Ovis aries: one gene and its partners. The protein of the gene in region 1 purifies or fractionates together with the protein of each later gene. This does not show direct contact. Links are inferred from orthologs where the notes say so. Each region holds a gene or a part of one and is shown in the gene's direction. Other genes may lie near its edges. The genes, in order: HNRNPU, HNRNPA2B1, DIMT1, SF3A1, FUS, KPNA2 and HNRNPAB.

Region 1 (3,500 bases):
GTTTTATGTTTAGTTGCTTATAGTTGGCGAGCTATGAAGCAGTGGTTTAGGAAGATAATGCTGTTATAAAAGGCTTTTTAGCTCATCAAGGGATACCAGTTTAAGTGCATTATTGGGTTCAAGTATAATTTGTTGAACATTGTATCAGAAATGTAAAGAGCAAAGCTTATGTAAGGAATTCCAGACTGTAGGTTTAATTTCATCTCTCCAGTAAAACTTAGGAAACTAGCTTTCTTAATTTAGTGTTGCTTCCACTGAGAACTCAGAAGGTGCATGCTAATGAGCCAGTGACCCAAAGGTAGCTAGGTTAAAGTCGTTTTGGATTTGGATTACTCCAAAGTGTGTAATCCCCCATACTTATTAACAGGCATATCTGGGGAAAGGGGACCTAAAATGCTGTAGTAGTAACAGCATTGATGACCAGGTTTGTATTGTATAGACTGAGATTGCCTTCTTAACAAGTTTTAGCAAAGAGTTTAAGATCTAGAACCCCTGTAAAGTGAGGATCAACAGCTCATACTCTTTACTTTAAAATACTTGGTCATGGCCTCCCTTCAGTTTTATTGTGGCACTGGTAAATTCTACCTGGTCTGGCATGCTTCACTTTGATTTCCTGCTATCCTCTACTGCTTGCCTCTAAATCAAGGTAAAGAGCAGAGCAGGTATGTATAAATGTCACATTGTCTTGATTATTTTATATACTTAAAGTACGCATATGCTAAACCTTTATATTTGTTAGCTGCATAGGTAGTGTACGCTTCAGTTCATGATTTGGCAAGAATGACTTGGTGGGAGTGGGGTTTAAACTGAAAATTAGAACAGCATCTGTAAAAATGTAGTATGCAGCATTCAGAAATATGTGAAAATTTAATAACAGCTTTGTCTACATGGCAGATGTTTATAGTGGATATCAAAAGAAATAATATGGCATTTGATATAATTGCAGATAATTGTGATCTACATTTTAAAATATCAAGAGATCGCCTCAGTGCTTCTTCCCTTACCATGGAGAGTTTTGCTTTTCTTTGGGCTGGAGGAAGGGCATCTTATGGTGTGTCAAAAGGCAAAGTCTGTTTTGAGATGAAGGTAAAAGTAGTTTTGTGATGTTCTTTTTTTCTTAAGCTTCGTGAGGTTTTTGCCTGTTATCAGATATCAGTGGAACTTCTATTTTTTTCAAGTTTCTGTGGGTTACAAGAGGGACTAACCCTGTGTTTTATAGTAGTTGAAGATGTTTGTTATATTAGAAGTTGCCATGTAGATAGAGCCAGCATAATTTTTATTTAGGGTGTTCATTTTTTTATCAGGCAGTTGAAAGGCCCACCAAAGGTTTGAAAAAATTTGGTTAGGCTCCAGTTTTTGTTCTGAGGAAAACATGTTAAAGAATAAAGTTTAGTTGGTTTTGAAGCATTGAGAATATATAATTTCAACATTTTCTTTTAAATGTGACTCAACCAAGTAAATTTTCAGCTTCAAGTTATAAGCCCTTAATTTTTGAATTTCTTAAAAATGTTTGGGGGAGCGTAAAGTTGGTGTGTCTCTGTACTTAGTAGCTGAAGAAGAATTAGCCCATTGCCCAAATGAAATAAACTAGGGTTGATTAAGTGGTTTATTTTCCTTGGTTCACAGTTTGTTTATCTTTGACTTTCAGGTTACAGAGAAGATCCCAGTGAGGCATTTATATACGAAAGATATTGACATACATGAAGTTCGGATTGGGTGGTCACTAACCACAAGTGGAATGTTGCTCGGTAAAGTTTCCATTTGAGTATCTTGGTACTCATGAGTGTTTAGTGTTTGATTTCAGTAGTTAGCAGGCATTCTAAACTTTTTGCCTGTTTTTTAGAGATGATAGTAACATGAGCATAGGCTAAATTTTGGCTTTTCTTTCTTTATAGTTAATTGGTTTGTGGCTGATGGTTCAAATAGAATGTTGTCATGTCATGCAGTTTGTCAACTAGTTAAATAACCACCTAGCTTTTTATATCTAGTATAAAGTCAGTATAGTATACTCTTAAACCCTACATCTTGAAAAAATAATGGGTCGGTTTATTCTGGAGAGTTGATTTAATGAAAGTTAATTATTTTCTTAGGCGAAGAAGAATTTTCTTATGGATATTCTCTAAAAGGAATAAAAACATGCAACTGTGAGACTGAAGATTATGGAGAGAAGTTTGATGAAAATGATGTGATTACATGTTTTGCTGTAAGTCACAGCTAAATTTGTATGTAAATGGCAAGTTATTAGACAAGATTATTTTAAAGTTATATCAATATCAACTTTCAATTACTGATTGATTTTGACTGAAAACTTAATATGAAGTTGATCCCCAAATCTAGTCTTTTTGGATAGTATTAATTTCTGTTTGTGGACATAGGTGTTTTAATTGTTCACACCAAGCTATTTAAACATATAACCTAAATATCCACAGGATACGCTTTACTCCTAGGTTGGTTTTTTTTTTAAGAAGTGTTACAAGAAGCATATTAAAACCCATTAATTTTTCTCTCCAATTAACAGAACTTTGAAAGTGATGAAGTAGAACTCTCTTACGCAAAGAATGGACAAGATCTTGGCATTGCCTTCAAAATCAGTAAGGAAGTTCTTGCTGGACGACCACTCTTCCCACATGTTCTGTGCCACAACTGTGCAGTTGAATTTAATTTTGGTCAGAAGGAAAAGCCATATTTTCCAATACCTGAAGACTATACTTTTATCCAGAATGTCCCCTTGGAGGATCGAGTTAGAGGACCAAAGGGGCCTGAAGAGAAGAAAGATTGCGAAGTAAGTCACTAGAAAAAAAATTTTTTGAAGCTTGGCTAAAGTTCTGTTTAATTTACTGCTATACTTGTTCCCATTAAAAGGCTGTGGAAGTTCAAATGTGTAAACTGGGCTTTTGTGTATTTAAAAAAAATATTTAAACAGTTCTTTCCATTGTAGGTGGTTATGATGATTGGCTTGCCAGGAGCTGGAAAAACTACCTGGGTTACTAAACATGCAGCAGAAAATCCTGGTAAATACAACATTCTTGGAACAAACACCATAATGGATAAAATGATGGTAAGTAAAATGGGCTTGATTTCAGCATTTTTAAAAGACTAGAAGGTATTCTAGGTAATACTTTTGTTTTTATCCATTTTGTTTAGTATTTTAGAGAGATGAGTTTGGACAGTTAAATGTTTATGTAAGTAGGTGCTTCACCTCTAAGGTAAACTGCTTTCTTTCCAGTGACTAGACTCCATTTTCTGTAGAAGTTTTTTTAACTCAATTATCCAGTAGATAAAGATGAGTTGATTGGCATTGGGTGGTGTTACAGGATAAAATGTCCTTACTTGTAGCATTGAGGAAAGGCAATGTTAAAATTTATTTTTAATTTTAAAAAAAGGTGGCAGGTTTTAAGAAGCAAATGGCAGATACTGGAAAACTGAACACGCTGTTGCAGAGAGCTCCACAGTGTCTTGGAAAGTTTATTGAGATTGCTGCCCGTAAGAAGCGAAATTTC
Region 2 (4,226 bases), on another chromosome or scaffold:
GACGGGAAGGAAGGCCCCCTCAACCTCGTCCGGGATGGGGGAGGGGAGGAAAAAATGCGCTTTGTCTAGAAATAAGGCGGCTGGCGCCACAGCTTTCAACCTTGAGAAGAGTCTCATCCCCTAAACCAACTACAGACGCCGGCCCGAAGCCAGGCCCGCCACGGGGTCTCTGTTCGCTTCTCCTTTCCTTCCCGCCAGGTCCTGACTCAGGGTCCGGCGAGGAAGATAGGAAGCGGGGAAATGCGGGTCTCTGGGGCTTATGCGGTATCTTAAGCAACACCACCGAGTGAAAGCTAGAGAAAAAAAAAAAGACACCGACTTCACCGCCTCTGAGCTGCTCCGGGTCCCGGGTCTGCGACGTCTCCGGCCCTGCGCGCCTCAAGCTCCAGTCACATCCGAGAGGGAGGGGGGCTGGGGAGCAGCGCTGCGCGCGGGGCCGCCGCTGGGGGGAGGGGAAGGTGGCACCGCCCACGCCAGGCAGCCGCCAGGGGCGGGGTGGGCGCGCGCCCCGGGGGGTGGGGCCGCGCGCCGCGCAGTGCCCGCCGGGAGCCCGAGCCGGAGCCCGGGCCCGACGGAGGGGGGAAAGCAGGGGGCGGTGACAGCGGCTCTTAGAGTTCGCGGCGTGGCGTCTGGTGGTCGCCCGAAGGGAGGGCGAGGAGGGAGCTGAGGGCCGCGACCTAAGCCTACTCAGCGGAGGTGTTTCCTGCTTTGCTGCCGCCTTAGCGACTGGCGCCAAAACAGGACTCCGCCCACTTCCTCGCCCCTGGGGTTGGGTGCCTCCAAACGTTGGGGGTGGGTGGGAGGAATCGGGAACTAAGAACGAGCACCACTTTCGACTACCTGAAATGTGGACCCCAAAAACATTGGCCAGGGTTAGGGTGGTGGATCGTTAAGTGTAATTTGTTGACTAGAAGTCGCTTCGGGTGTTTCCGGAAGGGGTCAGTCGGTTCTCCGCGCAGAGAGGGGAGGATAGGAGAAGGTGGGGGAGGGAAAACACAGTGGAAGAGACTACAAAGATTTTTTTAAAACTGGGGACCGAGGAAAAGCCATCGAAGCGTAGCTGTAAGGACCACTTCCCGGGATGAGGGGGCTGGACTTTTGGGTTGAGGATTAAGCTCCTCCCAACAGCGTTAATTTCAAACTGCGCGACCGTTTCTCACCTGCCCTGCGGGGGCAGTCCCCAATTCCGAGAGACAGAAATACGCAGGACTCGAGCCTTCCGCAATTTACAGAGCCCTTTTACGCAACTGACGTCCAGCATCAGTGCTGGCCTTAAAGGGGGAGGGGCACGTACTTGGCGCTAGGAGGTCGTAGAGCGTTCCCGCCATTGGCGGCGGTTAGGACGTTTACGCAACGGCCTGACGTAGGGAAGACGCGTTAGTCGGGGGGAAGGTTCTAGAAAAGCGGCGGCAGCGGCTCTAGCGGCAGTAGCAGCAGCGCCGGGTCTGGAGTGGAGGTGCTCCAGCGGTGTTGTTTCTCGAGCAGCGGCAGTTCTCACTACAGCGCCAGGACGAGTCCGGTTCGTGTTCGTCCGCGGAGATCTCTCTCATCTCGCTCGGCTGCGGGAAATCGGGCTGAAGCGACTGAGTCCGCGATGGAGGTAACGGGTTTGAAATCAATGAGTTGTTGGAAAGGGCATGGCGAGGCCGTTGGCGCCTTACTGGAAGTCGGCCATCCGCCTCCGTGGGAGAGCGGCAGCGAAATTGGGCCACTTCATAAGCGGTTGGTCTCAGGATATTTTTGGAGAGGGGTCGTTAGCAGAGGCCTAATTGTACAGCACCTTCCCCACCCTCAGCCTCACGGCGCCATTTCCCTTTGCTGGGGGTGGGGGATGGGGAGCTTCCACATGGCGGACGCAGCCCCACTTTACTGAAAGTGGGGCGCGGAGGCAGGAATTCCTACTCCGTTTTTAAAGAAGGGTGGTTTGGGGGTCCTGGCGTCCCCGCGTTGGAGCGTTTCGGCGGGTTTTGGGTCCTAGCGAACCGGGCTGCGGAGCTTCCCCTCCCCCCTCCCGGGAACCGGATTTGGCGGCCGCCATTTTCATTTCTCTCCTTCCTCGCAGCGATTTCTTTTTAATTCTCTAGATTTGACTAGCTTGACTTTTTCAGTGAGGACTAGAAGTGGGTAACTATTCATTTCTTTTTTCGGACTGTTTTCGTGCTGTTTCGAGGTGGATTCCGAGTGTGTAGGGAGCTTGGAGCTTTAAAGTCCTGCGCACCTCATTAGAGGCTCGCTCCTTTCCCCTCGATGAAATGGCGCCATTGCGTTCAGGAGCCGCACCGAAGGGCGGGGGGAGGGGCGGCGTTCTCCTGGGCGGTTTCGCTCGGCTTAGGAGGTAAAACCCTCTAGGGTGTTGGGCCCGGTTTCACGCGTGCCACGGTATAAAGACCTCATATTTTGTTTTTCAGTCCTTGTTTGAGTAACAGTTTTACCTGCGTTTCCGGTGATTGAAAAGGCAGTTGAATCGTAGAAAACATAAAATGAAAATTTTAGAGAAGATTATCGATTTTGCGGGAGGCCGTGGGGAAGGTGGTCTTTGGGGGGGGCGGTGTTCGGTTCAGAATCCTTTATTTTCCTGACGGATTCTTTTTTAATCGTATAATTTATTTGTATTTTAAGTAGTATTTTTACCGGGGAATTTAGTCTTTACTGGGTAAGGTTACGGGTGTTTTTTTAGTGATAAACTTGAAATTATGAGTTTAGTTGTACTCTGATTAAAACATGGCTCGGTCCCTCAATGCGTGTTCTGCTGTATACAAAACTTTTATTAGGCTGAGCCACTGTGTTTTTGAACTTTGTCACTTGCTTTTCTCGTTTATGTTTGCAATCATGGTTGATGATTACATTGATAAGCATAAGGTCTCAAGCGAAGGGGGTCTGCCTGGGTATTTTCATTGACCCTAAGCACGCTTATAAAATAACTTTGTTTGTAATCGATAGTGGACAGCGGGTAAGTTTGGAAAATGAGGTAAGTAATGAGTTTTTGCCTTTTGTTAGTGATTTGTAATGTTGTAGATGTATTTTAGTCTCTTTATTGGGGTTTTAAAAGGCCAGTTAACTGACAAGTGTTTGGAATAAATAAAATATGCTTAAGTGAAGTGTACAAATACCAGTATGTCAAGTTACCGTTTTAATAGATTGTTCTTTTAAGTGTTTGATAAGCTAGTTTGAGAATTTGTCTTTTCAAAAATTTCAGAATCTTAAAAGTAACTGTACAGGCAAAGAAATCTCTGCATTATTACTGTTTTCTAACATGTTGGGAGAATATCATGCATGGAGAGAAACTTGATGGAACTATGGGTTGAGTGTTGTAGTTCTACTTAATTTACCTACGTGCACTTGGTGGCTAACTTTCGTTTCTGAATGTTATTTAACCTAGTCAACTGAAAACCAAATAAAATGATCCAAGCTTCCTTAACTGATAGCCCCAAATACAGAGCTATTAATGTAGCTTATATGCGTGCTGGTTTGTAAGGATTGAGATTTCAGCTCAGGCTCTCTTCTCACATGAAAGTTGTTTTATGCTGTGTAATTTGCCAAAAGACCACTGAGTTCTACATGGTGAAGTGTAAGTCGTAGTGATATTTTGTAACTAGAGAGGATAGTCACAGTGGTCATTTAAATATTTTTATGGTTTTTGAAAATTGAAGTTACAGTGTCTTTTACTGTATTTGTCTTTTGGTTCAGTAATAGTGGATTGGGCCATCAACAAAACCAGCTATGTTAAAATATGTGCTTTAGAGACCGTCAATCATAAAAGTCATTTTATACTTTCGTCAGAAAAGATAAATTTTGAGGCTATTTTGCCACATATATTGAACGTTTAAGATTTTCTCTGGAGAGTTGGTATATGAGGAAAGAAAGTCAATACTAAGTTTTTCAGAGTTTTGAAAATTGAGTTACATTATAATCACCACCAGAGGGAGCAATGAAGGGAAACTCATTTCTTAAATGCTAAATCCAGAAACAAATGGGAACTGGGTTATAAAGCGAAAGTTGTTATATTTTAAAAATTTGTATTTGAATATGTAAAAGTGAACTCTGTTCTAAGTTATAGGATCGAATGCAGATGTTGATAAGACTCTTAACTTTACAGTCACCAGGGACTAGATTTGCTCTTCTTTCTTCAGAAAGATTTTTTTTAAAACTAAGTGATGCTATATTTGTTTAAACTCATTTAATGTCAAGTAAGTTTATATCAAGCATAATGATTTTGAAACGTGTAG
Region 3 (4,262 bases), on another chromosome or scaffold:
CAAATACTCTTATATCCAGTCTTTTTTTAGTGCTTTCCCTTTGAATTTTCAAACTTTCCCTGGCTAACTTTTGGTTGGCCTTTAATGATTCAGCTCAAATATTCTATTTTGAAAATGCTCCCCAGTCACCGCAAGTATTAGCTATAGTGCTAAGATCATTCCTCTTTTAGAGCACACTGTCTTCAGAATACAGAACGAGTTTCAAGATGCAGTTGTCATTTACTGTGTGATGTTGAGCAAGATATTTAACATTTTTGTATTATGAACACATCCTCATCTGTATTATGAACACAATGATAAGCCCCTATTTTAGAGAACTTTGAAATGGTGAAAAGATATATCGGCAAATGGTGCTATTACTGTAATTATTTGAATGTCTTCCTCTCTTGAAAGTTCTTTAAAAGCAGGAATTGTCATTCATGTTAATTTTCTAAATTCCTAACATTTGACACAGTGCCCGGCACACTGTGGATGTTCCAGAATTGTGGAATAAATCAATGATCAATGGAATTAAGAGACAGTTGAAATTGCTAACAGGGTATACACATTTTTTCCTAAATTAGAATTACAGCAAAGAAAGAGCAAGGCTAGGGAATGCACACAATAAATTCTGCAGGGAAGAGAAGTCAGCTTTGGTAAAAACAGATTGCTTCTTCAGGTAAATAGGTACACACAGAAACATTTTGCTGACAGCTAAAACAGACACGGACATTGTGTTCATGTAACTTTCAGTCAGATACAGCGTCCTATCACAATAGCCAATACATAACAATGACCACATTTACAGATTCAGACTTTTTGTCTAACTCTCTCAATAGAATAAACTTTGAGGTCAGTTTCCTATTTACCTTCGAATCTCCGTCACCCAGCAGTGTTTAATACATAGCAAGAGCTCAATATGGAAAGGTTTAGGAAATTAATGACGTGCCACAGAAAGAAGCGAAACCACCAGTAGGTCCAGTCAAACTAAGCACATAATTACATTTTCAGAGTTACTTTCCGTAATACAAGCAGCGGAGAATTCACTCCCGCTAAAGGAGCAAGCTCCTCTTCCCAAGCTCCTGGGATCCTCACCCACAATCGGTTGGGATACACGAGAGAAATACATGACATAAATTTTCTTTGGATTTGAGCGATTCAACAACCTAGCCTGATAAAGCATCCACAAGCCTAACTGCATTACGTAACCTAAGCTTCCTCCACTTCCTTGAGGTCCCACACCCAAACCTATTTAACTAGCTTGGTGCGTGTTGGGGCAAGGCCCCGCCCCCGATTCTAAACTAGCCAATCCAAACTGCCAGAATCGGCAGCGCGGTGTCTTCTGGGATCTGTAGGCTTCCGAGGTTAGGCTTCCCGGGAGGCCGAGCTTATTCCAGGCGGCCATCGGGCTCCAAAGGCCCGCCCTCTTTCTGGGGGCGGACCCCGGAGCAAACCGAGGGGCGTGTTTTCGCCCCACCCCCGCGTGGCCCGATAGGGTGCTGGTGGTGCGGGCTGGTGATTCCCACGTGGTGCGGAGACTAGAGGTTGCGGGTTCGGATCCTTCTTGACTTCCTCGGCCTGTGAGCTCTCTGCCTGCAGAGATGCCGAAGATCAAATCAGCGGCTAGCGGCCGCCGCCGCGAGCGGCAACAACAACGCGGGCAGCTGAAGAGCGCCGGAGGTGGGGACAGCCGCGAGAGAGCTGGGGTCCCTTGGGTTGGGACTTCCGGTGGGACCGAGCCGGGGCACGGGCGGAGTTCTGGCGGGGACAGTGAGACCGGGCGCCGGGAGCGCGCGAGTCCCGGGTTTGCCCGAGCGACGAGCGCAGGCCCCGCGCGCCGCCTCTGACTTTCCTTCACGGAAGGGGTGGCCTTAAAACAGTCTGTCATCCAGCTCCTTAGCGTGACGTTTGGCACCCCTAGCTGGAGCAGATACCGTCCCCTAGCTATCCTGTTTTCTTCTCTGGGACGGTCTAATGTTTTTAGTTGGGAAATTAAGGCTATTTCATGTTTTATTGCAGGACTCATGTTCAACACGGGGATTGGGCAGCATATTTTGAAAAATCCTCTCATTGTTAACAGCATTATCGATAAGGTGGGTGCGAAAGAGGAGAGGGAGAGAGTTACTGGGTTATTGATTTTAATTTTAGGAATATCTAAGCACAGATAGGATTCCTGACAGAAAATAGATGCTGTATAAATACTTGTGGAATGAATTGAAGAATTGTGTAGGATTCGCAAGTTCTCTTCAATATGATTTGCTTTATTCTGTGAGTCTCGGGTTCTGACTCCAAATTCTTTTATCTTTCTGTAGATTATTTACTTTTTAGCTTGACACTTCTACCTGTTCAATTCCAGATTTTTCTTCTATTACCAATCACTTTTTCTAGGCAGCATCTATCACTGTTAGTTTTTGTTTACTGCAAACCCTAAAATTATATCCAGACACCTTTGGAAGTTTGTTCCCCAGAGAAACCTGCATGTTATAAGCCAATGCCACATGTAAACTCTTCAGAGTATTCTTCCTGCATGGGTTATTGATGTTTTCTTATTGTTTTGTATGATTGGGAGCTAGGATGTGAAACAATAGGTGGTGAAGATTACTTTCATGGTTGCAAAGGAAGTATCCTGGCGCTGTAGAAAGGACATTACCTGGGTGAGAGATGTCAACTTAATGTTGTATGCAAAATGAGAGTTGGCCTAGCTTTTTAACCTTTTTGGCTCATGAATTCCTTTGTGCATGTGATGAAAGTTACAGACTCAGAATACTCCAGCTATGTGCATACGTATACATTTTTTTTCTGCCACATGTTGAGGGTTGTGGGATCTTAGTTCCCACACTAGGTATCTAACCCCGGCCCCCTGCAGAGGAAGCATGGAGTCCTAACCACTGGACTGACATTAATTTTTGTGTACAATTTCTGGATCCTTCTGCACCCCTGAAACCATACATGGATGTGGAATTGAGAAATACCAGTACAACATGCTATGGTTCATCATTTTGGTCCTTCCTTTTTGAACCTAGTGATAATAGTGTTGGTAACAAGGTGCTGTTGGAATCATTTCAAAGATAGGAAGGAGAATGCCACTCAGAACTGCTGTTCCTACTTCTCTGACTCCTAACTATTGCCCCAAGTTAGGAGAACTGTTCAATTTCCACTTGTGCCTAATGTTAATGAGATAATTTTTTTAAACATAGATCATGAAGCCATCTCCTAAAAATGAAGTCAGAATAAGATCTCCTAACTGTGCACTTTTGAGTAAAGCTATTTTGCTGTAAATTAAATTATGTGTTCAGACGTGCCTGTAAAGCTAAAGTAGTTGTGCTTGCTTGTAGGCTGCCTTACGACCAACTGATGTGGTGCTGGAGGTTGGACCTGGAACTGGCAATATGACTGTAAAGTTGCTGGAAAAGGCAAAAAAGGTAAAGAGAGGATTTAGTGTTTGGTATCAGGTATCATGTGAGTAAGTTTAGGTGGTTTACAAGTATAAATCTGTTTTAATGAATTGCTGTTATTTTAACAATAACTCTTGCTCCTTTGCTAGAAACTTTATAAAATATGAGCAAATTGGGGGGAGTCAAAAGGTACCAATTTCCAGGATAAAATAAATATGTCCTGGGGATGTAATGGGCATCATCATGACTATAGTTAACAACACTGTAGTACATTTGAAGGTTGGCAAAGAGAGTAAAAAGTCTCATCACAAGAAAAAAATTGTAATTGTGGTCATGAATGTTATATATATATCAAATCACTGTGTTGTATACCTGAAACTAATGTTTTATGTCAATTATGTCTCAATTTTTTTTAATGGATTAAAAGAAAAAAACATAAGTATATCAATCAGGAAAACGTATGACATTGGATACTTCAGTACAGGGAATTGGTTACATGGTTGTTAGAGGACCAAGAGAATAAAACACTGAGGTTAACCCAAGAGTAGAATTACAAAAAGCAGCTACCACCTCTCGGCTCAGGGGAACAAAGCAAGGGGATTGGAGTTATTGGACTTGGAACTTTGGAGGAGATCCAGCACAGGCCTCTGAGACTGGAGTGTCACCTGCCTGCTGCTGGTACCTTCTTTGTCTCTTGGTGGATCCAGTTCCAGTTAAGTCAGATCATTGCTGTGTCTTCTGGTAGATGCAGGCAACAGAGAACTTATCTGAGGAGAGTTCAGTGAAGAGACCATTGACAAGATGTGAGAATGTTAAGGGAACCAGTAAACATTTAGTGAAAAACCTAGGGACTATCAACAGCAGGAAACAGTTACCATCGAGCAACCT
Region 4 (3,500 bases), on another chromosome or scaffold:
TCTGGAGCCACCCCTTGATGTGTCCGGGGCGCTCTTGAGAGCAGGGCTCTGGCCAGAGGAGTGAGGGAGGCCCCGCAGACGTCTCCCGGCTCCCAAGTCACCTCTCCTGTTCATAGGGCAGCCCCTTCCAGCCTTCAGAGCAGCAACAGGCCCTGGGGTGTTCAGGCCTGTGCGGTTCAATAGACTTTGGCTTCTCATTCACTAATCAGTTCTCTCAATACTTCAGAGTAGAGAGAGAGGGTGGTATTTAGCCGTATTTTACCATGGGAAGTTGGGTCAAAAAGACGTTCAGTAACTTGGTAAGTCAGCAGTGAACCCAAAACTTGAACACGTCCATATCTTGTGTCTTTAAGGTGAGTGCACTTTCTGACTGATACGGGTATTGTGGATGTGTGACACCTTGAAATGTTACTGTTGGGACTCTTTATTAAAAAATCAGGGTTCCCTATACATCATGAGAAGGACGTTTTTCATTCTGAGGGTTTAAAGGCATACACACTGGGGACATAGGGTGCGTGTGGGAAACTCCTCCAGATACAGAGAGACAGGGGCCTCCCTGACGTCACGTCGCTGTCCGGTGAGCGTGCTTTATGCTGCAGCTCGGCCCCCGGGCCTGGAGAGCAGTGTTTCCTGTATGAGTCCCACCCAGTAGTAAAGGAGATGATTACAGCCAATACTTATCCAAGGTGTTAAATCCTGTTCACATTGTCTTTTTTTTCCCCATTCTTGCTAGTTAGAGGACAGTATCTCAGTTTAGCGTTAACACACCCTTGATGCCTCCCAAGCACTCAGTCATCCTGCTTTTTGACTAAGAACTGCTTTCAGTCTCAGCAAACTTTGAACTGAACTTGAACCATGCTGCATTGCTCTCATTGTATTGCCTGGTGTGGCTGCCTTTTGTCAGCAAAGCCATAACGACTTTTATTTGAAGTAGTGACATACGCCTTCCTCCCCCTGTTGCCCCCTCCCCCCGCAGCACCCCCACTGCCCACCCCCCCGGAGCCCTCTGCAGTGCAGTGAGAGTGCATGGGGTCCTAACCCCTAGACGTCAGGGGATTCCCATGCCTTCCTTTTAAAGTACTTTTCTTTGAAGTGAATACATTTTATTAGAAGAGCGATAACGAGATGATTTTGGAGAGGGTGAGACTGGCGGAGGTGCTGCAGGAATGACGGAGGTCTGAGGCCCTGGGGTCGCTGGGGCCTGCATGGGCTGCAGGAGGCGGGGGCGCTGGCCGCTGATGCCAGGAGTCTCGGGGAGGTGGTCTGCTGTGCCAGCCAAGGGAGGGGCCCGTTTGAGTGGTAGGTGGTGGCAAGAACGGAACTTGAGTGAGCCGTATTCTGGTCCAAGCACTTGAGAGGGCTGCAGGATCGATGCTTCTCTTTTTTCTCTTTTACTAGAAATGGACCTGAATTTGAAGCGAGGATACGACAGAATGAGATCAACAACCCCAAGTTCAACTTCCTGAACCCCAACGACCCTTACCATGCCTACTACCGGCACAAGGTCAGCGAGTTCAAGGAGGGCAAGGCTCAGGAGCCCTCGGCCGCCATCCCCAAGGTCATGCAGCAGCAGCAGCAGGCCTCCCAGCAGCAGCTGCCCCAGAAGGTGGGAACCGGCCCTGTGCCTCGCTGCCCCAGGGGTGAGGGAGGGAGACGATGACCTGCTGTCCACACCCCACAGCCACGTGGGTAGAAACGTGAGGCCTCTGTCTGCATCTTACAGAGGTGCGTGCTGAGGCTCTCTCAGCAGAGGGTTGCTGACAGTTGGCGTTGGCTGAGGGCCTGTCCAGCTCTGTGTGCAGAGCTTTGGCGGCCTTGTCTGACTGGTGCCTCTCAGGGGCTGCGGGAGGAAGCCAGTAAAATGACCCTTTTTCAGACGAGGACTCTGAGGCCCAGGGAAGCCCAATTTACCCAGGGCCGCGGAGTCACGACCCTGCAGCCCAGGCTCCCAGCCCCTGCTCCTTGCCTTGGCCGTGGCGTCCGGGCAGTGCCACGGCGTGGCTTGTGGGCCCCTTCTTGCGTGTCCCTCGCCCCTGTCTTGCCTCCCGGGCCCCTGTGTGTGGCATGCCCTCGGAGCACTGCGGGTGGCTCGGGCCGTCAGTGAGGACACATTTTGCCTCCTGTGTAGACCTGGACTGGGCCTTTCTCTTTGCTGCCTCCCGAGCCGTGGTGGCAAAGGCTGCCCCTTGTGTGACGGTGGGAAGGAAAGGTTGGAGAAGGTTCTGAGACCGTACTTTGCAGTTGATTACTCCTGGTGCCTCAGGCAACCTCAGTTTCCTCCTGTATAGAAAGAATTCACAGTACTTGTGGCCACTTCATGGTTCGTGTGGAGGCCAGAAGGGGAGGTCCTCTGCACACGTGTAGGGCTTCCTACATCCTCTGCCCCTTTGCGTGGGATTTAATAAACCATCCCTGTTGGATCTTCTGCCACCCAGTTTCGGTCCTCAGTTTCAGGGCAGCAATGGACACGCAGAGAGACACGGTTCTCACTCAGAAAGCCATCAGGGAGTCGAGGCCACACTTGGCCGAGACATCGACGCTCTTTGAGTTGGGCTTCTCTTCCCGCCACGTGCTGGGGCATGCATGTGATTGACAGAGGAGTAGGGGGCCATGCCATCCTCCGGTGGTGCGTGCGTGCCCCGTCTCTGGAGCCAGTCCACCCCTTGCCTCTCGCCTCACATTCCCTTTGCATCTTAGGTTCAAGCCCAAGTGATACAAGAGACCATTGTGCCCAAAGAGCCCCCTCCCGAGTTTGAGTTCATCGCAGACCCCCCTTCCATCTCAGCCTTCGACCTGGACGTGGTGAAGCTGACGGCTCAGTTTGTGGCCAGGAATGGGCGCCAGTTTCTGACCCAGCTGATGCAGAAAGAGCAGCGCAACTACCAGTTTGACTTCCTGCGCCCGCAGCACAGCCTCTTCAACTACTTCACGAAGCTGGTGGAGCAGTACACCAAGGTGCCTGGGGGCCGGGGGGAGCGCACACTGCTGCCAGCGCGCCGTCCACGCCGCCTGCAGGGGGCCCGCTCCTGGGTGGGGCCTTGAACAGTCATTCAGGTCACCAGACCCGAGGGTTATTAGGATTACAGTGTCAATTTTAAGCGAGCCCTGGGTTAACTTCCAGGGCTAGCTGGGTGCTAGCTGGGTTAACACCCAGCCCTAGCAGGGTGCTTCCAGGGGTGACTCCTGGTCCTTCTGCCGCAGAGCGTGGGTATGGACCTTTAGCACTCTAACCTGAGGGTGCTGATGTGGCTCTGGACTCGGGAATTCCAGGAACAGATGTGGTTCTGGGGAAGGGAGACAAGGAGGGTGGAGCGGGGCTGAGCCGCTTTGCCAGTGAGCGTGGGTACGGTTGGGCTGGTTGGAAAGAGTAGCTCTTTTACATGAGGCCACCATTTGCTGTCTCAGCAAAAAAGCTCTGCGTGCCAGGCCCTGTTCCAAGCTCTGGGTATGCAGCAGTGAACTGAAGACAGAAATCTCTTGTCTTTGTGGAGACTGGTCTA
Region 5 (3,949 bases), on another chromosome or scaffold:
TAGGAACTTTGACTAGAGTGCAAGTTGCAAGTTAATTTGAATTTCACATTTTGTCCTCGTTCTTGTAGAGAGTGAAAAGACTTCAGAATACCGCAAAGTGTTCACATAACCAACAAAAGGAGTGTTTTTGTAGCTGCACAGACCTGGATTCGAATCAGGATACCTGTTCTATAATCACGGATTGTTCTTGGTCGGTGTCTTATTTCTCTTTTCTATAAAATGGGGATAGCTTACTTTCTTCATAAGACTGTGTTGGGAAAGCATTTAATTGTGCATTTTGAAACGACTTCAGCTCTATACAAATATCACTTACTACTGGATCTCCACATTGGTTTCTTGATAGAGTTTCAGGAAAACATCTGTGAAAGGGTGGGAGATACCTATCTAATCTCAACGCTCTTTGAGATCCGGAGGGTTTGGGCTTTCCCGTCCAACAGCTAGTCAGGGGCCAAGGCTTGAGGACGCTGGGTGGGCGATCAGTGCTTGATCAAACTAGGACCGAAGGGTCTGGGCTAAACTCCCTGCTTTATTTCTTTCATGTCAAAAGGCACAATCTACAAACCCTGATAAGGACTCAAGAGAGGTAAGCCAAAAAGACGATGAGTGAAAACCGAGACGCTGAGAGAGGGTCTGTGTCTGTTGTCTTGGGAGGAACATTAGAGCCAGAGAGGGAGGATGTGCCGGAGGGAGTTCGCGTCTGAAAAAGTGGAAGGGGAACGGAACGCAGGAACTCCACACCCCGAGTGAAAGTGAGGCCCAGTGAAAGGGGCCAGCCTGAGGAATTTCGGTTCCCGCCCTACGACTCCCGGCTTTGACTACAGTTCCGCCCGCAGCAGCCCTGGGCCCCTTGCCCCGCCCCCAGGGGTTAATCGGATCGTACCATTATGCCATCCTAGGGGCGGAGGTGAAACGTGGGCTAGTCTTGCAAAGCAAATAGTTCTTTGTCAGAAAAAAAAGGGTTATCTATATGATCTGAACGTTTCTTAGTTAATATATTTCCTTTCTGCCTGCTAGGATCCTCTATACTCCCTGAAGAGTGCCAGGAGTCCGGCCATGTTTCCCCCTTTCCTTTCCGTAGTTGGTACGTTCCCCCGGGAGACGTAGGCGGGGAGGCGTACATAAACCTCGACGCAGGAGGCGGGGTTGCTCAGTCCTCGAGGCGTCGGTGCTCTGTAGTGTTGGAACCTTGTTGCTTGTCGGCCTGTGCGCGCGTGCGCGGACATGGCCTCAAACGGTAAGTAAGGGCGCGAGGCGATCGTGGCGCGCCGGCCCCGGACCTCATTCCTTCCCAGTCCGGCTTTTGTTTTTCGGTGGGACCCGGGCGGCTATCGAGTGCAGGATCTTTTCCTCGCACCACTGGCTAGAAGCAGCGGAGAGGGGTGGAAGGGGGAGGCCGATGTCGCCATTTTGTTTTGCTCATCTGGCGCCTCGCGTGGGGCGGGAGGTCGTCCCTTCGTTGCCCCCTTCCTTGAGGTGAGGGTTGGGAGAGACGCGGCTTAGTGATTGGGAATGGGAGGCATGGATGGAAATGCTCGGCCTCCGTATCCTCTTCTCCCCCTCGTCCCCAGCCCCGCGCTCGGGCCCGCTTTGTCGCAGTGCTGCATCCGGGCACTCGGAGGAGCGCGCACGCGCTTTGCTAGCCCCTCCTCCCCTTTCTGGCGGCGCGAACCGCCCCCCCCACCCCGGTCTCCTGTCTGCCCTGCTTTTTGTCGCGAGACCCTCGGCTGGAGGCTCCGCGGCGCGCGTCCGGTGTGGGCCGCGCCCCCGGGGTCCTTCGGGAAGGGGCGGGACCGCCTCGTTCCCGCCTCGCTTGCCACGCGGCCAGAGGCGGAGGCTCGGGGTCTGGGCCGCGCGCCCGCTTAACGGCTGGGGGTGGGGGGCTGGGGAGTGGTCCAACGGTCTTGAGGACTGGGCCCGAGGCCTTTCCCGCCTGAATTTCCTCTTGCAGAGGTGGGAACTGAAAAGAACTGTCGCCTGGGGCCACACCCTCTCTCGGTGCTTTGGCTCTTTCCTGCGGGGGAAGCGCCTCGTTTCCTGTATCGAGGAGATGAGCGGATCAGGCCCGTGCGTCTTCCATGTGGCGTTTTAAAAAGCACTTTCGCTGCTTTGGATTCGCCTAGTCTTCCCGCAGCCCCGAGTTAGCCAAGAGGGACAGGAAAACGCACTCGTTTGGGAGCCACAGGGCTGGGGGCTTGAGTACCAGCCAACGTGCTGATCAGAGTGCTCTCTTCCCTTGGTTAGCTGGCTTTGCACCAGAAGCTCCCATTTCCAGGCTCCAAGATTGGGCAAAGGGTGAAGCGTGGCGTTTTGTGAGACATTCTTGTTCTTTGGATTGAGAAAGCGGAGGCTCCCTTCGGAACAGTTCTGCCTCTGGCTTGAATTAAAAACCTGTCCTGCTGAAACAGCTGTGTGGTTTCAGCCTAACTCTTGGCGATGTCTTCTTTCTCAAGGGAGCGTGGGAAAGAAATGCGTAAATCTTTGCAGTTCTGACATCGATTGAAGTTGCGGACAGGTTGCTGCTGTCCGTTAGCACTCTTGCTTTTTCAAGTACTTAAGGCGTCTTTCTTGGTTTTGTGGAAATGCGCTTTCTCGTTGCCTTTTTCATTGTAAGAAAACTTGTCTGGGGTCTCACAGACTGCCCCTCTCCATAGAATTTCATGAGGGAATATATGCCTCCTTTGTTGATTTTCTTATCTGGGGACCCTGAAGCTTAAGTCTTTTAGCTCGTCTATTCTGAGAAATGGCTGAAGGTAATATAATCCTGTTTTTCTTTTGCAGACTATACCCAACAAGCAACCCAAAGGTGAGTGTCCCTTCTGGACTTCCAGAGTTTGTAGAGGGTGAGGGTGGTTAAGATGTCTTTTCCTGAGAGCACTGTTTTTTCTCCAGCTATGGGGCCTACCCAACTCAGCCTGGGCAAGGCTACTCACAGCAGAGCAGTCAACCCTACGGGCAGCAGAGTTACGGTGGCTACGGCCAGTCTGCAGACACTTCGGGCTATGGCCAGAGCAGCTACGGTGGTTCTTACGGACAGACCCAGAATAGTGAGTCTTAGTGGGTCACCCCACCTCTTCTGCTCTTTGTGAATGTTGCTTTTCTTTTTTTTTTTTTTTTTGTGAATGTTGCTTTTCTTAAACCTAAGCAGTGCTGAAACATTCCCCTTAACCGGTTTTTGACCCTTAAAGCTCTTGGATGTTTTGAGTCCTTTGAAACAAAAAGACTTAATTGGTTTGTAATCCTGCTTCCTTTTATTTTCTGTTACTTTTTACTTTTCTGTTTATGCTGCTATTTTCCCAATTTCCCCTAAGCATGAAAGTGAAATGAAGGTGGGAGGAATATTCTCTAGAGGGAGAAATGCTTTAGGCTTTTAAAGAGGGAAAATGACTTGCTTGAAGACATTTGAAGTCAGGTGGCATCACGTGGATACACCAGGAAGTGGAATTTGCCCTGAGGTCCCTGGAGTGTAAATAAAACGCCTTGTCTTTATTTGTTCTGCCAGGGGCGGGCAGGTTAAAGTGCTGTTAGTGACAAGAGATCTCTTGGGCTATGACTAGTGGTGGTCCTGGAGGCTGGCTTTGGGGGTGTGTGGTATGAGGTTAGAACTTAAAACTTGAGTAGAAGTTGAAACACAGCTTTCAGGTAGAAAAGGTAATCTCTTTAGCTATGAGTTGCAAGATTGCCAAGCATTTTCTAAGAAGTTGACTTACCAAGTACAGGAAGCACTAAGTGGTATACAGGGCTGTTCTCAGTGCATTCCCTGCCTGTTCTCTTTCCTCATAGCTTCTGTGACTTCCCTTTTCCTTTCCTTGTAGCAGGCTACGGCACGCAGTCAGCTCCCCAGGGATATGGCTCAACTGGTGGCTATGGCAGTAGCCAGAGTTCTCAGTCGTCTTACGGGCAACAGTCTTCGTACCCTGGCTATGGCCAGCAGCCAGCTCCTAGCAGCACC
Region 6 (4,190 bases), on another chromosome or scaffold:
AACAGAGCCTGCTTTCCTACCTCTCATCATTAAACAAAAGGTATCCGGCTTCTCAACTGAATGAATTTAGGTCACATGACTGCCCCTGAACCATTCACAGTAGCCTGGAGAATACCATGTAGTGACTGGTTTAGAGGTGAAATCCCACAACCTTGTGCATTTAGGGGGGGTAAGATTATCCTGATTGGTTATGTGGAAGTAGAAGGAACCTCCATGACTCTCATTACTGTTACACAATGAGTGAGGCTGGCAAAAATGCCTGCAGGAGGGACAAAGTTCATTGTTTGAATCATAGTAAAAAAAGAAAAAGCCAATACAGCTTTTCTTAAAAATACCCTTCTCAGGATACAGAAAAGCTGCGAAAAGAAAGTGGACCATAATCCTGAGGTTCTGATGACTATCACTGAAGCTTTTTTTAAATTACAAGAAAATGCAAACATTTTATTTGAAATATATAAAATATAGCATAGATCATTACTATAACAATTGATGATCTGAACACAGAATAAATAATCGCATATAAGTTCAATTGTCTTGAATTTGATGATTATGGTGTGGTAATATAACAGAATGTCCTTATTCTTACAACATACAAGCTGAAATATTTAGGGGTAAACGGACAAGATTTCTCAAACTTACTCTCAAATGGTTCAAAAAGTAATATGTAAAAGCCATGTATATATAAATAGAGGTACACGTGCATGTGTGTATACATATATATATACATACACATCAAAATAGTAAATTAACATTTAACAAATATGGATAAAGATTTGCAGTTCTTTTGTATTTCAAATTATTAAAAATAAGACTGGAGAAGCAGGCATTAATAAAGCTTTTGTTAACATAGTTCTGCCTTCTATGCAGTCTTTTATGACACAAGTTAAAAACAGTAACTAACAAATGCAGCACATATCTGCCTTATCCCTCCCCTGCTTGATGTCCAGAGACCCCGGCAAAGTTCTTTCTGAGTCCCATCGGGAAAAATGCATAGCAATATATTTCTTTATTAAGATTTTTAAAGAGAATTATTTTGGGAATCATTTGTGGTACTTAGTTAAGGCAAACACTCAGGAAAACGACCAGCCACCACACCGCGGTAAACCCATGCAAAGAGCTGACCCTCCGACCAAGATGGACAGGGAACCGGCCCTGCGCGCTGCATGCCGGGATCTGGAGTTTTTCTTCTCCGCACTGCAAGGCTCTCAGGGATCGCGCGGCCGCTCCCTTATCTCGCGATGCTATCCTATCTACTTCTGGGCCCTCTGACCCCTCCCCAGCTAACGTGTTTTTCAAATCCACCAATGGGCGTATAGCGTAAGCTCGAACCAGCCAATCGGAATGCGGAGCCACCGGGAAATTTAAATCGCGCCGGCCGGCTGCACGAGCCACACCGTCCTCGGGCTGACCGTGGTAGACGTTTGGAGGCAGTAGATCCCGCAGCTTGTGCGCCGCGCACAGCCTCCGGTGGACGCTTGAGCTTGCTGTGTAGGTAACGAACTGAGGTCGCAGTGCAGGTGGAGCGACAAAGGCTGGTCCTTAGGCCGCTCTTGGATTGCTGGAGGCGGGAGGGGAGTCCCGGGGTAGACGCCCGGCCAGGCTTCGGCCTCTCTGGTCGATGAGGCCTTGGGGGCGTAGTTCGTTGACGAAACGGGTGTTTCACTGTGGATGCGAGTGCATGGGCTTTAGTGCCCGAGGCCTTGCGAACCGCTGCAATCGCCTTTGAGTAAGAATTATTAGAGTCAGGCCCGAGAACGAAAGCCTCGGTAGGGGGCCCGACGCCTCTGGCTCCTCCTCCGCGGGTTCCCGCTGCTGCTTCCCCGAAATGGGGGTGGGGAAGGGGGTAGGGGAGGGGACTGCAGATGGAGGTGGCAGTTGGAAGTGCTATCTCTTAATTTGTAGGCCCTGGGTTGGCTGTGTCACGATTTCGTAAAAGAACAGAATGGAATTAAAGATAGCCACTTTGAAGGAGGACTTTTGTGATTTTTTTGGGAGATTGCTCTTAAGTAGGTGAGTTTGAGTGGAACGCAGCTGATAGAGCCTAATTTAGTGCATTCACTCAGAATTTCTGGAAATGAAAACGTGCGAGATGCTGAACTGCGTCGCAGGTGTTCAGGGTGGGCAGGAAATTTTATGAAAGTTTACATAATGTTAACGACGAATCAGATTTTTAAATATTTTCAAACGTGCAGAATGTATCTGTTTGGGCCGTTTAAAGCCAGTAGAGCCTCGGAGAAGGCAATGGCACCCCACTTCAGTACTCCTGCCTGGAAAATACCATGGACGGAGTAGCCTGGTGGGCTGCAGTCCATGGGGTCGCTGAGAGTCGGACATGACTGGGCGACTTCACTTTCACTTTCATGCATTGGAGAAGGAAATGGCAACCCACTCCAGTGTTCTTGCCTGGAGAATCGCAGGGACGGGGGAGCCTGGTGGGCTGCCGTCTATGGGGTCGCACAGAATCGGACACGACTGAAGCGACCTAGCAGCAGCAGCAGAGCCTCCAGATCTGAATTTGTGGCCCGTACGACATAGATTTTAACTGTAACCTTATATCCCGTACGTTGTCTTCAGTTAACTATTCATGGATCCTATATAGAGTCTAGAGCCATGCTGTGCAGTGTGATAGTCACCAAAGGCGTGTGGCTAGTCTAAACTGAGTTAATGCTGTAAGCTTAAAGTACCTGCAAGATCTCGAAGAATTAGTATGAAAAAAGAATGCAAAATAGTTCAGTAATTTTTTTGATGTAATGTGTTGAAGTGAGAAAATAGATATTGGAGTAAATAAAATATATTATTGAAGTTAATTTCATTTGTTCCTTTTTGCTTTTAACAATCGTGGCTACTAGGAAGCTTAAATTTATACAGCTTGCATTATATTTCTGATGGACAGCACTGCTCCTGGAAGCCTCAGCCCTTCAGAGGGGAGGGGCCAAATATAATTTGGCCAAAACTCATGTTCCATAGTGCTGAAAAAGGAAGTTCCTCCTCTAGTATGGAAATACGGATTGAACGTGTATTTGATAATTCCCTTAATGCTATGTTATTGCCAAACAAAGTGATAAAAAGGAAATTTTTTTCTCTCCCCTATCTTGCAGCTTTCTCCCTTTGTCTCATAATCATGTCCACCAATGAGAATGCTAATTCACCAGCTCCCCGCCTTCACAGATTCAAGAACAAGGGGAAAGACAGTACAGTGAGTACCTTCTGTTGTTTTTCTAGTATTTTTTAAATGGTAAGGTATTTGGAAAGAGCGTCCACACTTTGAGTGAATTTAAAAAGTTGTCTTCACTTGGCACCTAACACTGATGTAATAGGTGAGATGATACGTTATCTTTTCTCAAGGAAATGAGGCGGCGCCGAATAGAAGTGAATGTGGAGCTAAGGAAAGCTAAGAAGGATGACCAGATGCTGAAAAGGAGAAATGTCAGCTCTTTTCCTGATGATGCTACTTCTCCACTGCAGGAAAACCGCAACAACCAGGTGAGGATATTTTAGTTTATGAGTTATGGTAAACCCAGAAAATCAATATGAGGCCTTTCTGAGATATTTAAATAACATGTCTTAGCTTTGTGGGTTTTAACTATCAAATGTGAAGATCTGTCTTTGTGTGCTCCTGTTCAGTAATTCTGATGGATTATCTTCCCCCCGCCCATCCTCTGTAATCTGTGGAAGCTGATTCCAAGGTTGTCTTTAGCTCTGATCTCCCCTTCAAGTTTCCCTGCTTTTCCAGTTGCCAGCTTTTACTTTGAGTTGGCCATTCAAGTGTTCAGTGAAAGTATGTCCAGAACCAACTTTTTTTTTTTCCTGCCTTTTTTTTTCTTTCTCTCCCTTTCCCTTCCTCCCTCCCTCTCTTTTTTTTGTAGTTGTCACCAGCTTTTTTCAGGTCTTTTTCCTCAGCTGTCTCTTGATTTTCTTTCTGTGCCACTTACTGTTTACCTAAAAGTTTTCTTAAAATACTGCTTAAAACATCTTAGAAATTTTATGATTCTAAATCCTTTTTAAAAGGTTTTTTGGAAATTAGACCCATCCTAGAGTTCTACTCATGGAGACTTCGTGATTTTATCAGAAGTCAGGGAAAGTTGCTCAGTTGTGTCCAACTCTTTGCGACCGCATGGACGATACAGTCCATGGAAGCCAGAATACTCTAGTGGGTAGTCATGCTCTTCTCCGGGGATCTTCCCAACCCA
Region 7 (4,154 bases), on another chromosome or scaffold:
TCCAAACGTGAAATTGTGACATTTTACATTCTCATGGCAACTTCACTGGGCTTCCCTGGTGCCTGCGATAGTAAAGAATCTGCCAGCAATGCAGGAGACCTGTGTTCGATCCCAGGATTGGGAAGAGCCCCTGGAGAAGGGGCTCCAGTATTCTTCCCTGGAGAATTCCATGGACAGAGGAGACAGTAGCAACTATAGTCAGGCTCTTTGGGACCATCGGGTTGCTGGACACGACTGAGCAGGTTGGCTTAGGAAGTGAGCCTCAGACCAGAGCTCTGGGCTTGTTTTCTCCTTTATAAACTGGTTGTCAACTTCCATAGGGTTGTTAAGAGACCAGATGAGAAAACAGAATGCCCAGCCCACCACACTGGGCCCGGCCACAGGATCCCAGCGGGAGATGTCAGCTACTTGTGTTCTGCTGTTATTTGGCAACCCCCGAGCTTCAGAAGTTTTAATCCTTCTTCATTTGGTATTTCTCACCCATATGGTTAAAAGGAATCATGACTATACAGGCCTTTCAAGCTTGGTCAAGAAGATAAATAAGTAGTTTGTATATTAGAAAAAGAGAACTATTCTTCCCTTCCCCAAAACTGCATGATTTCAAGGAAGTGGTGTATTCTTAAAAACAGATTTCAGCAAAAATAAACGAATCGAAGATATTAAGTAGTCAAAAGTAAAAATGTGATGCTAATCGTCAAGGTGGTGCCAAGCGACCTAAGAATGGGCAACACCGCAGTCCCACAGTTTCTCCCGCGTGGAGCACCATTGGCCACCCGGCGAACTCCGCCCCCTCCTCGCTTCTCGCTTCGGGGGGAAGCTGCACAAGGGGCTGGATCGTGTGGCTTGGACGGCACCAAGGTCAAGGGGGACGGCTGGTTCCGTCCCAGTTTCTTGGGGTTTGGAGGACACTACGCGCCCAATCTCCGAAGGCCGGGTTCTGCACTTCCAGTCGGGCGACCTTGGTTTCCGAGACTTCCTGGAGTCCAGTTTCCTCTTTTGGGAAATGGAATGGCCAAGGCTGCCAGTGCTGGTTTAGGGCGCACGGGGACCAGAGTCTACGGCCTCAGAGGCGAAGGGTCAGGCTTGCGCCTCTCCGGTGTGGGGCTCAGACCACCGGCCACTCGGGACGGGACCGTCAAGCCACCAGACCCAGGCACCCTCCGCAAGGCCCCGGCTCGCGCGGATTCTAAAATGAGGACAAAGCCCGCCCGGATCTACCGTGCGCGCGCCGCTGCGGCCAATGGGAAGCCGGCACGGGGATGAGTGACAGACCGGCGAAGCCAATGAGCATGCACCTTGTTGCGAGGTGGCCTTGGCTCCGGCATTATAAAGAGCGCCACGAGTCGGCATTGTCAGGCGGCGGCACCGCGCGGCCGGGGCGAGCTTTGGAGTCGGTGGGTTCTTGTGGCTGCGGAGGCGGACTAGGCTAGCGCGAGGTCCCAGCGGCTCCGTCGGTAGACGGGGGAGAGGCCCGGCAGCGCGAGCGTGAGCGCGGCTGAGCCCGCGGGTGCCTCCTCGGCGGGTGGGGACGAGCGGGCCCCGCGGCGTCATCGGCGGCGAGGTGAGCAGCCGGGCCCGCGGGCGGGAGCCTGGGCGGGAGTGGCGCCGGCCTGACGCGCTGTGGCTGCTCGTTGCAGGAGCCGCGCGCCTCGGCCTAGCATGTCGGAAGCGGGCGAAGAGCAGCCCATGGAGACGACGGGAGCCACCGAGAACGGACATGAGGCTGCCCCCGAAGGCGAGTCGCCGGCCGGCACTGGTACCGGCGTTGCGGCGGGCGCTGGAGGCGGGAGCGCGGCGCCCCAGGCCGGCAACCAGAACGGCGCCGAGGGTGACCAGATCAACGCCAGCAAGAATGAGGAGGACGCGGGGTAAGTGCTGCTGCGGGCCGACGGGGGCGCCGCCTTTGTTCCGGGGCCGCCTTTTGTTGGCGCCACGCGGCGGGGGGAGGGGCGGGCGGCCGGGGCCTGCTCGCGGCCCGCAGACCGGCAACTCCGCGCCGCCCGCTTACGGCGCGCGCTGGAGTTTGCAAGAGTTTGTTGGGTCGACTTTAGCGCCGCCCCGGGGCCGCTGGCGCGGGGACCTGCGGCAGGCGGCCCGGAAGGGGAGTGAGCTCGGAGCCGGGGCCTGGCGGGTCGCGCTGCCTAGGCTGCGTGGGCGGAGTTGGCGCGCACCCGGGCCTCCCTCCTCCGGCTCCTGCCGGGGGCGGAGTCCTGGTCTGAACTCTGACTCGGCCCCGGAAGCCTCGAGTTCCTTGAAGTGATCGGAGGTGGCAGGGACTGTAGTGTTTTGATACATAGTTGTTAGACAAATTAGATTCCTTCCGGTTGTGAGACCTCAGGTCCTAGCTCTCCGGCCAGGTTGTGCTTTCTTTCCTCAACCAGCCTAGGGTATGGAGTCACCTGAGGCTTTATTAGGGTCTAGGTTGAGTTTGGAAGGGTAGGGGAGACTCGTTAACATATTCCAGAGGTAGAGCCCTGTTCCGAATGGTGGCTTTCTAATCCTTTCAGTGAGAGCTTTGTCAGGGTCTATCCTTCCAAAATCACGGGTTGGTTATAAGGCTTGTTGCTGTATGTCTCACCTCACTATTTCAGAAAAATGTTCGTTGGTGGCCTGAGCTGGGATACCAGCAAAAAGGATCTAAAAGATTATTTTACCAAATTTGGAGAGGTCGTTGACTGTACAATAAAAATGGATCCCAACACTGGCCGGTCAAGAGGGTTTGGATTTATCCTCTTCAAAGATGCAGCCAGTGTGGAGAAGGTAAGCTGGGGTAGTTCACAATCAGGAGTCTCAGTGTATTCCAAGATAACCATTCTTAGACTATGATTGGCTTATGTGTTTTGCACAGCTGAATGCTCTGGGAAGAGCAGAGAGGTTGAGAATTTATCCTGTTCTTTTCCAGGGGATTAAAAGTAGAGATTAAGTGGAGGAGTGAGTATGGGCAGGGGTGATCAAGGAAGGTTTATAGTGGACCATTTATTATCTTGTGCCTATTCTGGACCTTGCTAAAGCAAACATTTCATTGAGAAGATTAGAAGAGAGCCCACAGTTGCTAGGAGATAGGCATTACTTTAACCTCGTTTTGCAAAAAACAGAAGATTAAATAGAAGAGATCACATAGCCAGTAAAGGGTGGATTGTGAGGATTCCAGCCCTAGCAGCCTAATTTTAGCCTGTGCTTTAAGTTTATGGAATTGGCTAGGCAAGAAAAGGGGTGCGGGGCATGGTCAAAAGTCTTGGGGGTGGTTTGATAGATTTCATAAACCAGGTTAAGTCTGGAGATTGGGTTGGGAAGTCAGGTTGGGGTAGAGTTTGGAGGGGATGAAGCAGTTTCGTGTGCCTGTGTTGGGAGTCTTATGGCTGAGAGAAAGAAGGTCCTTGTTTTGGGTCATGCTGCTGAGTTAGACCCCAACTCCCTTCCGTTGGAACAGGTTCTAGACCAGAAGGAGCACAGGCTGGATGGCCGCGTCATTGACCCCAAAAAAGCCATGGCCATGAAGAAAGACCCAGTAAAGAAAATTTTTGTAGGGGGTCTGAATCCTGAAGCCACTGAGGAGAAGATAAGGGAGTACTTCGGCGAGTTTGGGGAGGTGAGTGTGTGGTCCCCACAGTGGTCTGCCAGCTGCAGTGATGTTGCCTTCTTACTGGTCCTTGACACCTTGGCTGACTGGAACTTTTTTTCACTGTGGTGTTTGTGGGCCTTTTCCTATGAGTTCCCTATAGGCTCTGAGGTAAGAGTCTTGAGCTTTGCCTATGTTTGCAGATTGAAGCCATTGAGCTTCCAATGGATCCAAAGTCGAACAAAAGACGAGGCTTTGTTTTCATTACCTTTAAAGAAGAAGAACCTGTGAAGAAAGTGCTGGAGAAAAAGTTCCACACTATCAGTGGAAGTAAGGTAAGGTGTCCCCAGCTGTGTGTGCACTTAGCCTTCTGCTGGAACTGGCCTTTGCAGGTGTGGACTAGGGCTTGAACCACCTCCAAGAGTTCTCCAGGGTGGACCGGACTGTTTTTGTGCAGTGCCTGCTGTCCTGATAGGGACCAGTGGTCCTGTCCTTCAGCGCTCCCAGGCTGGCAGGACAGGACCTGAGGGAGGCAGGAGAATACTGGAGCATGGGCGGCCCCTCTGGGACGGGTAGTGTGTGAGCAGTCTCTTCA

What was found.
Region 2: the proteins of HNRNPU (region 1) and HNRNPA2B1 purify together in Homo sapiens (affinity purification with mass spectrometry; 4 studies listed by BioGRID and IntAct, with this or other methods). This does not show direct contact. The link is inferred for Ovis aries from reciprocal best matches to the Homo sapiens genes HNRNPU and HNRNPA2B1.
Region 3: the proteins of HNRNPU (region 1) and DIMT1 purify together in Homo sapiens (affinity purification with mass spectrometry; 3 studies listed by BioGRID and IntAct, with this or other methods). This does not show direct contact. The link is inferred for Ovis aries from reciprocal best matches to the Homo sapiens genes HNRNPU and DIMT1.
Region 4: the proteins of HNRNPU (region 1) and SF3A1 purify together in Homo sapiens (affinity purification with mass spectrometry; 3 studies listed by BioGRID and IntAct, with this or other methods). This does not show direct contact. The link is inferred for Ovis aries from reciprocal best matches to the Homo sapiens genes HNRNPU and SF3A1.
Region 5: the proteins of HNRNPU (region 1) and FUS purify together in Homo sapiens (affinity purification with mass spectrometry; 7 studies listed by BioGRID and IntAct, with this or other methods). This does not show direct contact. The link is inferred for Ovis aries from reciprocal best matches to the Homo sapiens genes HNRNPU and FUS.
Region 6: the proteins of HNRNPU (region 1) and KPNA2 purify together in Homo sapiens (affinity purification with mass spectrometry; 3 studies listed by BioGRID and IntAct, with this or other methods). This does not show direct contact. The link is inferred for Ovis aries from reciprocal best matches to the Homo sapiens genes HNRNPU and KPNA2.
Region 7: the proteins of HNRNPU (region 1) and HNRNPAB purify together in Homo sapiens (affinity purification with mass spectrometry; 4 studies listed by BioGRID and IntAct, with this or other methods). This does not show direct contact. The link is inferred for Ovis aries from reciprocal best matches to the Homo sapiens genes HNRNPU and HNRNPAB.

What each region holds. Positions count from the first base shown.
Region 1 is NC_056065.1:31,691,209-31,694,708, forward strand, and holds part of HNRNPU (heterogeneous nuclear ribonucleoprotein U), read left to right. Parts: intron 1-946; coding exon 947-1,086; intron 1,087-1,648; coding exon 1,649-1,748; intron 1,749-2,090; coding exon 2,091-2,203; intron 2,204-2,518; coding exon 2,519-2,782; intron 2,783-2,938; coding exon 2,939-3,058; intron 3,059-3,383; coding exon 3,384-3,500. UniProt on the Homo sapiens protein: DNA- and RNA-binding protein involved in several cellular processes such as nuclear chromatin organization, telomere-length regulation, transcription, mRNA alternative splicing and stability, Xist-mediated transcriptional silencing and mitotic cell progression.
Region 2 is NC_056057.1:71,303,366-71,307,591, forward strand, and holds the start of HNRNPA2B1 (heterogeneous nuclear ribonucleoproteins A2/B1), read left to right. Parts: upstream 1-1,426; 5' UTR 1,427-1,594; coding exon 1,595-1,600; intron 1,601-4,226. UniProt on the Homo sapiens protein: Heterogeneous nuclear ribonucleoprotein (hnRNP) that associates with nascent pre-mRNAs, packaging them into hnRNP particles.
Region 3 is NC_056069.1:17,147,897-17,152,158, forward strand, and holds the start of DIMT1 (probable dimethyladenosine transferase), read left to right. Parts: upstream 1-1,462; 5' UTR 1,463-1,580; coding exon 1,581-1,659; intron 1,660-1,998; coding exon 1,999-2,072; intron 2,073-3,314; coding exon 3,315-3,401; intron 3,402-4,262. UniProt on the Homo sapiens protein: Specifically dimethylates two adjacent adenosines in the loop of a conserved hairpin near the 3'-end of 18S rRNA in the 40S particle.
Region 4 is NC_056070.1:69,356,454-69,359,953, reverse strand, and holds part of SF3A1 (splicing factor 3A subunit 1), read left to right. Parts: intron 1-1,398; coding exon 1,399-1,606; intron 1,607-2,697; coding exon 2,698-2,955; intron 2,956-3,500. UniProt on the Homo sapiens protein: Component of the 17S U2 SnRNP complex of the spliceosome, a large ribonucleoprotein complex that removes introns from transcribed pre-mRNAs.
Region 5 is NC_056077.1:27,781,693-27,785,641, forward strand, and holds the start of FUS (RNA-binding protein FUS), read left to right. Parts: upstream 1-1,149; 5' UTR 1,150-1,221; coding exon 1,222-1,234; intron 1,235-2,778; coding exon 2,779-2,803; intron 2,804-2,889; coding exon 2,890-3,044; intron 3,045-3,812; coding exon 3,813-3,949. UniProt on the Homo sapiens protein: DNA/RNA-binding protein that plays a role in various cellular processes such as transcription regulation, RNA splicing, RNA transport, DNA repair and damage response. Binds to ssRNA containing the consensus sequence 5'-AGGUAA-3'.
Region 6 is NC_056064.1:48,653,715-48,657,904, reverse strand, and holds the start of KPNA2 (importin subunit alpha-1), read left to right. Parts: upstream 1-1,390; 5' UTR 1,391-1,492; intron 1,493-3,098; 5' UTR 3,099-3,121; coding exon 3,122-3,196; intron 3,197-3,345; coding exon 3,346-3,483; intron 3,484-4,190.
Region 7 is NC_056058.1:36,983,677-36,987,830, forward strand, and holds the start of HNRNPAB (heterogeneous nuclear ribonucleoprotein A/B), read left to right. Parts: upstream 1-1,354; 5' UTR 1,355-1,394; exon of another isoform or gene 1,395-1,561; intron 1,562-1,637; 5' UTR 1,638-1,659; coding exon 1,660-1,868; intron 1,869-2,591; coding exon 2,592-2,760; intron 2,761-3,430; coding exon 3,431-3,589; intron 3,590-3,762; coding exon 3,763-3,894; intron 3,895-4,154. UniProt on the Homo sapiens protein: Binds single-stranded RNA. Has a high affinity for G-rich and U-rich regions of hnRNA. Also binds to APOB mRNA transcripts around the RNA editing site.